Linked DNA regions of Schizosaccharomyces pombe. The main gene of each other region encodes a partner of the protein of the gene in region 2 in a complex. Each region holds a gene or a part of one and is shown on either strand. Other genes may lie near its edges. A codon is read from its position in the direction of its gene.

Evidence for each region.
Region 1: the proteins of sfc7 (region 2) and sfc1 are in contact, whole or in part, in a crystal structure (PDB 4BJJ), measured with the Schizosaccharomyces pombe proteins. Residues at the interface, in NP_001343039.1 of Schizosaccharomyces pombe: Ser7 (codon at 1,901), Leu8 (codon at 1,904), Thr10 (codon at 1,910), Asp14 (codon at 1,922), Val15 (codon at 1,925), Glu16 (codon at 1,928), Asn17 (codon at 1,931), Ile18 (codon at 1,934), Val19 (codon at 1,937), Phe20 (codon at 1,940), Gln21 (codon at 1,943), Phe22 (codon at 1,946), Asn24 (codon at 1,952), Ser25 (codon at 1,955), Ser26 (codon at 1,958), Leu27 (codon at 1,961), Asp28 (codon at 1,964), Phe29 (codon at 1,967), Gln30 (codon at 1,970), Ser31 (codon at 1,973), Ser32 (codon at 1,976), Asp33 (codon at 1,979), Asp34 (codon at 1,982), Phe35 (codon at 1,985), Ser36 (codon at 1,988), Ile37 (codon at 1,991), Ile40 (codon at 2,000), Asp41 (codon at 2,003), Ile49 (codon at 2,027), Pro61 (codon at 2,063); in NP_593297.1 of Schizosaccharomyces pombe: Ser3 (codon at 2,450), Leu4 (codon at 2,447), Lys5 (codon at 2,444), Ile6 (codon at 2,441), Ser7 (codon at 2,438), Asp8 (codon at 2,435), Asn9 (codon at 2,432), Glu10 (codon at 2,429), Tyr11 (codon at 2,426), Ala12 (codon at 2,423), Leu13 (codon at 2,420), Ile14 (codon at 2,417), Glu15 (codon at 2,414), His16 (codon at 2,411), Pro17 (codon at 2,408), Gly18 (codon at 2,405), Phe19 (codon at 2,402), Ala20 (codon at 2,399), Lys23 (codon at 2,390), Phe26 (codon at 2,381), Phe27 (codon at 2,378), Leu30 (codon at 2,369), Val33 (codon at 2,360), Ile36 (codon at 2,351), Gln37 (codon at 2,348), Cys40 (codon at 2,231), Phe44 (codon at 2,219), Arg73 (codon at 2,132), Asn74 (codon at 2,129), Asp75 (codon at 2,126).

Annotation. Positions count from the first base shown.
Region 1 is NC_003424.3:1,332,688-1,337,019, forward strand, and holds sfc1 (transcription factor TFIIIC subunit Sfc1), read right to left. Parts: upstream 2,647-4,332; 5' UTR 2,457-2,646; coding exon 2,343-2,456; exon of another isoform or gene 2,287-2,342; intron 2,235-2,286; coding exon 978-2,234; 3' UTR 660-977; downstream 1-659. Other genes in the region: phosphoribosylformylglycinamidine synthase Ade3, read right to left, coding at 1-546; serine/threonine protein phosphatase PP2A regulatory subunit B-56 Par2, read left to right, coding at 3,241-3,633, 3,702-3,945, 4,018-4,214, 4,265-4,332. UniProt on the Schizosaccharomyces pombe protein: TFIIIC mediates tRNA and 5S RNA gene activation by binding to intragenic promoter elements.
Region 2 is NC_003424.3:5,097,315-5,100,094, reverse strand, and holds sfc7 (TFIIIC subunit Sfc7), read left to right. Parts: upstream 1-1,882; coding exon 1,883-2,245; downstream 2,246-2,780. Other genes in the region: protein mug95, read left to right, coding at 109-497, 583-730; ubiquitin conjugating enzyme Ubc14, read left to right, coding at 1,279-1,320, 1,382-1,588, 1,690-1,908; alkyltransferase-like protein Atl1, read right to left, coding at 2,656-2,780.

The DNA.
Region 1 (4,332 bases), 3.8 Mb from region 2:
TCCAAACTTCTTATTGGCATGATTCAATCGCTCGGTTGCAGCCTGCTTGTCACCACCTTGCCCACAGTTAAGCTCTATTCTCACAAGTGGAGCTGGTTCGTGCTTATCAAAAACTTCATCCTCTTCCGGAAGTTTAAATCTTAAAGCTTCAGTCATGCGATCATAAAGATGATTCAAAGCAGATTTAAGCATCTCTTCTGAAATGTCATCTTTAAAAACTACTGAATAGGCAATACCTCTCTCTATACGAATCACATCTTTATATCCACAAACATTGGCAATGTTCGTTGCTTTGGATGACCAAGGAGAAATTGTTCCTGGACGTGGAAACACATATACCATCGTTGTTCCATCAGGCTTGAATTCAGATTCTTGCAAATCAGACAAAATTGGTCGCAGACTTTCGCAATTTAAAGAAGAATTGGACTTAGTATAGATCAAGTAGAAATAAACAGCATTTAGATCAGAAACTCCAGAAACTGTTAGTTCCAAAATTTTTTTTTTACTCTGAACGCTCAAGGCAGATCCACCATAATAAACCAACATTTTCGTCTAAAATGATACAAACTCCAAAAGTACTATTGAAATAGTAGAATGGAGATACAATTACAACCTCGCCAAATAGGTTGGCTCAGTTTATGTACTAACAAGTCAGGAAAAAATATGTACTTTAAATTGCGCTATGCAGCGTAGTATTATTGTTTGGTTCATCCGGGGGCAATCGACTAGCGCACCACTAAGCAGCTGTAAGATTAAACATCTGATAAAATTATTGACATTTGTAACCACAAAATCAAGCGAGCTACTTCAGAATTAAAAAATGAGAATTAAAGATCAGAAACAATTGATAGTTGAAACCTACTCATAAGTTATGTTTTACAAGCCATTTACCATGGTCAGTTAAACAAAAAAGAATATAATGAAATTTAAGTTGAGTATAATTTTTTGTATCGAAGTACCTTGACATGGGGGGGGGTTCAATCACCAAATATATCATCGTAGTCATCATCAATTTCCTCTAAATCCTCAAAGCCTTCATGTTCTTGACTTCTCTTCATTAAATTCCTCATTAAATCATTTATCCGATCATCTGTTGCTGAAGTATTCAAACCTCTAACAGTATCATTTAAATCTGTATTATCCTGTTCATCAAAATTCGAATATCTGTCAGATTCCTCTACCTCTTCGGCGTTTAAAATCATATTCACCGCGACTTCAGAAGGCATTTCTCCTTCGATCAGCGCAAAGAGTTTTTCACGCATAAGATCTCTAACCTTATAGTAACGACCGCTTCTATACCATCCTGTGTCCCGATGACATTCAGAACGTAACTGAGTATCTTTCAGTAGTGGTGCAATTGTGGGATCTACGATATCGCACACTTGATAAACACGATTAGTGGGAAACAAAGTCTTGCCATCAAACACGTGAGTTTTAGTCCCTTTATGTTTTCCATTTAGCTTGAGTTTAAAGAACAAAGCTTGGTAAGCAGCTGCATTAGAATCTTTTCTAGGATCGTATCCAAACCGCGTATATGTATCTCTAAATGGACCTGAAGTCCATAAATAAGAAAGGTAAGGAAGAGCAAATTTCAAATAGTGAGTATATGACGGGTCTAGATGATTTAATAAGGCTCTTCTCGTCCAAACGGGTCGTTTTTCAAAAAGAGGTTTTAAAGCTTCTATAACTTCCTGAATTGTCTTCGAAGGCTCACCTAATTTTGAGTGTCTACATGTAGGTACACTTTCAACCCCCATATTTGTAGTGATAATCCAAACTCTGCATTGACCTTTTAGATTGACTATTGTAGTTTTCCCATTAGGTAGCCGAACTCGACCTACTAGTGGATTTTGCAAGAAGTTATAAGACATGGGTAGACTTGTCTGAGAGAAAACAGGAGGAGGAGGCATGTCGACATGTTTTCTTTGTACCGGAGTTAGATCGATGGAAAACTTATTAATGGCGTTATAGTCAAGCACTCGCAGAGTGGAATCTAATTTTTGAACGAATGGTGAATTTTGAGTACTATACTGGAAATCAGCCATATCTCTGAATAAGAAAACTTGACGAATTCTACTGACATTTTGCACAGAGTTGTCCATTTTTTTAATCGTTACTAATAGGTCATTTCTGGATTGCACTCGAGCTTGTACTGGATGATGGTATTTATCTTTAGGCCTTAGATTCAACTCCAACAGAGCTTGTTTTGGGTTTTGAAATGAAGTTTGACATGCCTAGAAATTGTTAGTATTAGGTCAAAAAAGATTATCAAATTCATGTTTTATAAAAGGGGAAGCTTAAAGATGTAAGCCGGTCATTCCTATACTTTTTTAGCAATTTACCTTTTGAATTGATTGAACACCGCCTAATGTCTGAAAAAATGCATCCTTGTTATTAGCAAAGCCCGGATGCTCAATGAGTGCATATTCATTGTCAGAAATTTTTAGACTATTCATAAGATATATGCCTAATATGGTATGCTATAAAACACTGGAAAAAGTAGGGCAAAGACTTTATATATATTTGCTTTTAAAGTAATTTAATTAATAATCTGGATAACTTATTCCTCAAATGAAAAATTAATTGATACACATCAATATCATTGCTTCAAAAGCATTTTAATTTTTTGGCAGCTAAAATAATGTTGTTCCAAACCTCGGACATCGTACAACAATACAGTAACATCATAACACAAGATTTTTGCCGATCCGTTAATTCACAGTACCAGCCAATTTCCCAAGTACGTTATTTCATACTACCAGCCTTCGGTAGCGTCCCATAACATTCGAGCCACTCGCCCCGTTTTGCTTCATTTGCCAAACATAACTCATAGTAAAGTTGTCATTACAGGAAGTTTCAAGGTTAACCCTCTTAACTATTCCCTAGGGTGTTTAGCTTATATACCCATCTTATAAAGGGGCTCAGAATTCTGTTACCGAGGTTGTTGCCGTTAACTCTTTGACTTGCCGAGACATATTTACGGAGTACTTGAAAGGAACAAATCATTTATTTACCCACCACATAAATTTACCCTTTTCTAACTCATCATTGTGTACAAATTTATTAACAGACGTTCTTTTGAAGAAAGACAACGTTTACATATTCAGTAATAGGTGCATTCATTTAAGTTTCGAAATTACATTCGGTCCCAATCCTAGGAATCATTCGTTTTTTAAATTTGGTTATTCGCTATCTTTATAACTTGCAATTGAGCAAGGAAATCATCTCATTTGCCTTTTAATGAAAGGATTAAGGAGTAAATTTGTAAAAGCACTTTCGTTGAAGGATGAACAAGGGTCACATAAAAATGGTCATTCAAAAAGCCACTATATCTCTAAAAATGGGTCTTACGTGGAAACTGACGACGTGAAGCACACAGACACTCACCATTCTTCAAAACACGAGCTTAAAAAACTTAAGAGTCATTTCCTAAAAGATACTTTAAAGCACAAACGAAATCATCATGCCAACTCAAATAATGAAAAACATGAAAATTCTGATAAAAAAATACATACGACGGTTCTAGCATCTGGACATGAGGATTCTGATTACTCTACGTTTTTGCCCGTAATTGAAACTTCTAAAGTTAAAGACGCCAACCATTTCCCACCTAATTATCCAGAACCAAAAAATGTAAGTATACGTCGGTTAGTTTAATATTTTCTACCAAAATGATTATTTTCATACTAACTTACTTGTAGGATTCTGTATCGTCTAACATAGACGAATTTCCTAATGATTCCATATCTTCTGCCTCATTTTTATCTGTCCCACAATCCACTCCTCCTTATTTAGTTTCACAGCCAACTCCCTTAAATAAATTTTTAGCAGGTGCTGAGAATGTTGACATTCCGCATAGTCTTAGACCAGTACCTCGACGCGAACACTCCTCTCAATTTCAAGTATCTGAGAAAAGAACATTAGTTCGGTTGCCTTCATTTGATGGTACGTTTAGTAAGATTCTTATATCTTATTTTAATAATGTACTTTTTTTTATTCTTGTGCTAATATAATTAGATGTTCATACCTCTGAACGTGAAGAACTGTTTATAAAGAAGCTTGAACAATGCAATATTATTTTCGATTTTAATGATCCATCTTCCGATTTGGCTAGCAAAGAAATAAAAAGAGAAGCCTTATTACAAATGATAGATTATGTGTCTGAAAACCGCGGTATTTCTTCCGCATCGCTTTTTCCTTATGTTGTCAATACAGTATGTTTACTCCTCTGCTTTTTATTACTGTAAAAATCTAATCACTATAGTTTTCCCTCAATGTATTTCGGCCTATATCACCTGCTCTTAATGATTATTCATCAGATATGTTTGCTTT
Region 2 (2,780 bases):
CTCAGATGATAAATGTACTTCTTTGGAAAAAAAGCGAAATGAGTAAATACCTCTATTTGTATATTTGCTAGTGTTTTGAATTACATGGAAGTTGCATAATTATCTCCGATGAACTTGTTTGTTTACATAGCACAGAATCCTACATTAACCAAATGGTTTTTTTGTTGTGTATGTACTATTCTTACAATGCCATTTTTTAAAAAGCCGTATAGGAAAAGGGGAATATCGAGAACGCCATATGAATGGCTTACCTATGCTGATAAATGTGTTATTGAACTTAGCAAGTCCGAATTGAAGCCCAATGAAGAAAAAGAATTACCAAAGGACATTAAAGAAGACTGCAAAACCGTAGAAGAGAAGGAAAAGGTCGTTCCAAGGAAGCCACTGCAATCTGAAGGGATTAATGAAGACGATTCCCAAAAAAATGGAGAATTAATTGTCTTGCATGGGATTAATCACCAAGCTGCGATGTTGACAGCTTGCGGTCTTTTCATGGTGTAAGTTACGACGAAAATAATGAGTGTAAATAAACATTCACAGATGAAAAGCGACGCAAGAAGGAAAATATGCTAATCATGGTAGTACATCTTCTAACACCAACAAATGGAAAATTGCCTTTGCTTCCTTTCTTTTAGGGATGTTTTTCACACAATTTGGCTTCCAAAAAAGTGAACGCAGCATTAATGCTGAAAAGCTAGAAAGCATAGAAAAGCCTGAAAATGACAACTAGGTTGTATTAAGTCGTGCTACGGCACAGACTAGATTGCAAAATTAGCTTTCTCATTAGCAATTAAATTTTTTAAAATAAAGTTAACAGGCTCATAGATGCCTAGTTTCAACTTGAGATGAAAGCCGCTTTCAATTGAAAATCTAGCTTTTCGAAAGTTTAAAGAGCGTCTGAAATGAATGCGTATTCTTCCACTCTATATTTGTTGTAAAAAGAATTAAATTAAATCTCGGCTAGCGACGCTGATTAAATATGTATACAGAAGTACATATTCTATTAAGATTGATTTCAATGTGTAACTATCAGACTCGGATTGCCAAGTTGTTATTGTAAATCCAACCAAAAACTTCAATCAATACAAAAATACTGTCCGTGATATACATCCTAGACTAAGTTGTAAATCACAGCCCAGTAATGTGCCCTATTTTCGCATGATGAATTTATATTTAATGTTAGAATCAATTTTTCCTTAAACAATACAACAATTATTAATTGCCATTAAACGTTCAGTAAAGTCCTCGCATGTAGTTACTGCTCTCTACCCTTACCAAATGGCGTCTGCATCACCTTCATCTTCCAGAAGACTGACAAAAGTAAGTAAATTTTTATATTTTTACTTTATTCTTACATAGCTAATATTCAAATGGTAACCAGGAATATTCTGACTTGCGAGAACACCCTATTCCAGATATTCGAGTTAACCTAGTTGACGACAATCTATTTCACTGGGCTTGTACAGCTCTTGGTCCATCGGATTCGGTGTACGCAGGGGGAAAATTTCATTTCTCATTAAAATTTCCTTTGGACTATCCATTTCAGCCTCCTACTATTGAGTTTACTACCAGAATATACCATCCAAATGTAAGCATTTTATCGTATTTCTGTATGGAGTAATCATTGATCACATTTTTAAACGAGATACATAATTATTTATATATTTATGAATTTTCTAACCTGTTTAGTTTGACTCTGAAGGAAACGTTTGTTTGGCCATTTTGAAACAACAAGTTTTCAAACCCAGCATCAAACTGAGGAGTGTTTTGGAGCAAATTTTGCAACTTCTTAGGGAACCTAATCCTGACGATCCTCTTGTAGCTTCCATCGCTGAACAATATCGAAACGATCGCCCTTCGTTTGACAAAATTGCTAGGGATTATGTCGAGCAATTCGCCAAGTCTTGAAACTGACGTTGATGACGTTGAAAATATTGTATTCCAATTCCAAAATTCATCTTTGGACTTTCAATCTTCCGATGACTTTTCGATTTTAGGAATCGACCAACCGCACCCTATTGTCAGAATCGGAGGAATGTTTTTCAGAGGTACCTGGCACCAGCCGATTGGAACAGATATTGTCGTTCCTTCGGTGAATGATTCTGAACTTTCTCGTGATGGCCTTGTTCTTTGTAAAAGACGACTTATGTTGGAGCAAATACGACTTGTTCCTAAAAACCCATCGCCATCATCATCAATCCATTCTCCGACACAAGGAGAGCCTGAAAATATCTCCGAGAATTGAGCGTATCTTAGTGATGAAATTAGATTAAGAAATCTGTTGCTGAAGTTTTATGGTACATTTTGTTTTGAATTCTGAAATTCATCTGTATTTATCTCTTCAGGTATTTTACATTAAGTTGCGACAAAAGATCACTTTTAATGTATTAAGTAACTTTATACGCTAAATTTTCATACATATATGGTTATGAACTAATGAAACTTTCTTGAACCCGTAAGAACATTACGTTGTTAAAAGGAAAAATGTATTATATTCTAAGCGTATTTTTATACCGAAGTTGATAGACGTTAAATGTTGAGGACATTATTAGAGATAAAAAGATTAGATTTACATTTTGACCAAAAGAAGGAGGTTGATTGCTCGTTTCAAGAGAAATAGAAAATGCAACGATATTTGCCAATTAAGTAATCGTATTAAGGCTTCCACATGTATTCTGGTAAATTCAACTTGTACTCTCCTAAAGACGTTTGGTAAATTTCGACACCCTCTTCTTCCAACCGATCCTTCTGTCTCTGTTCACCAGCAGAGATATCTCTTT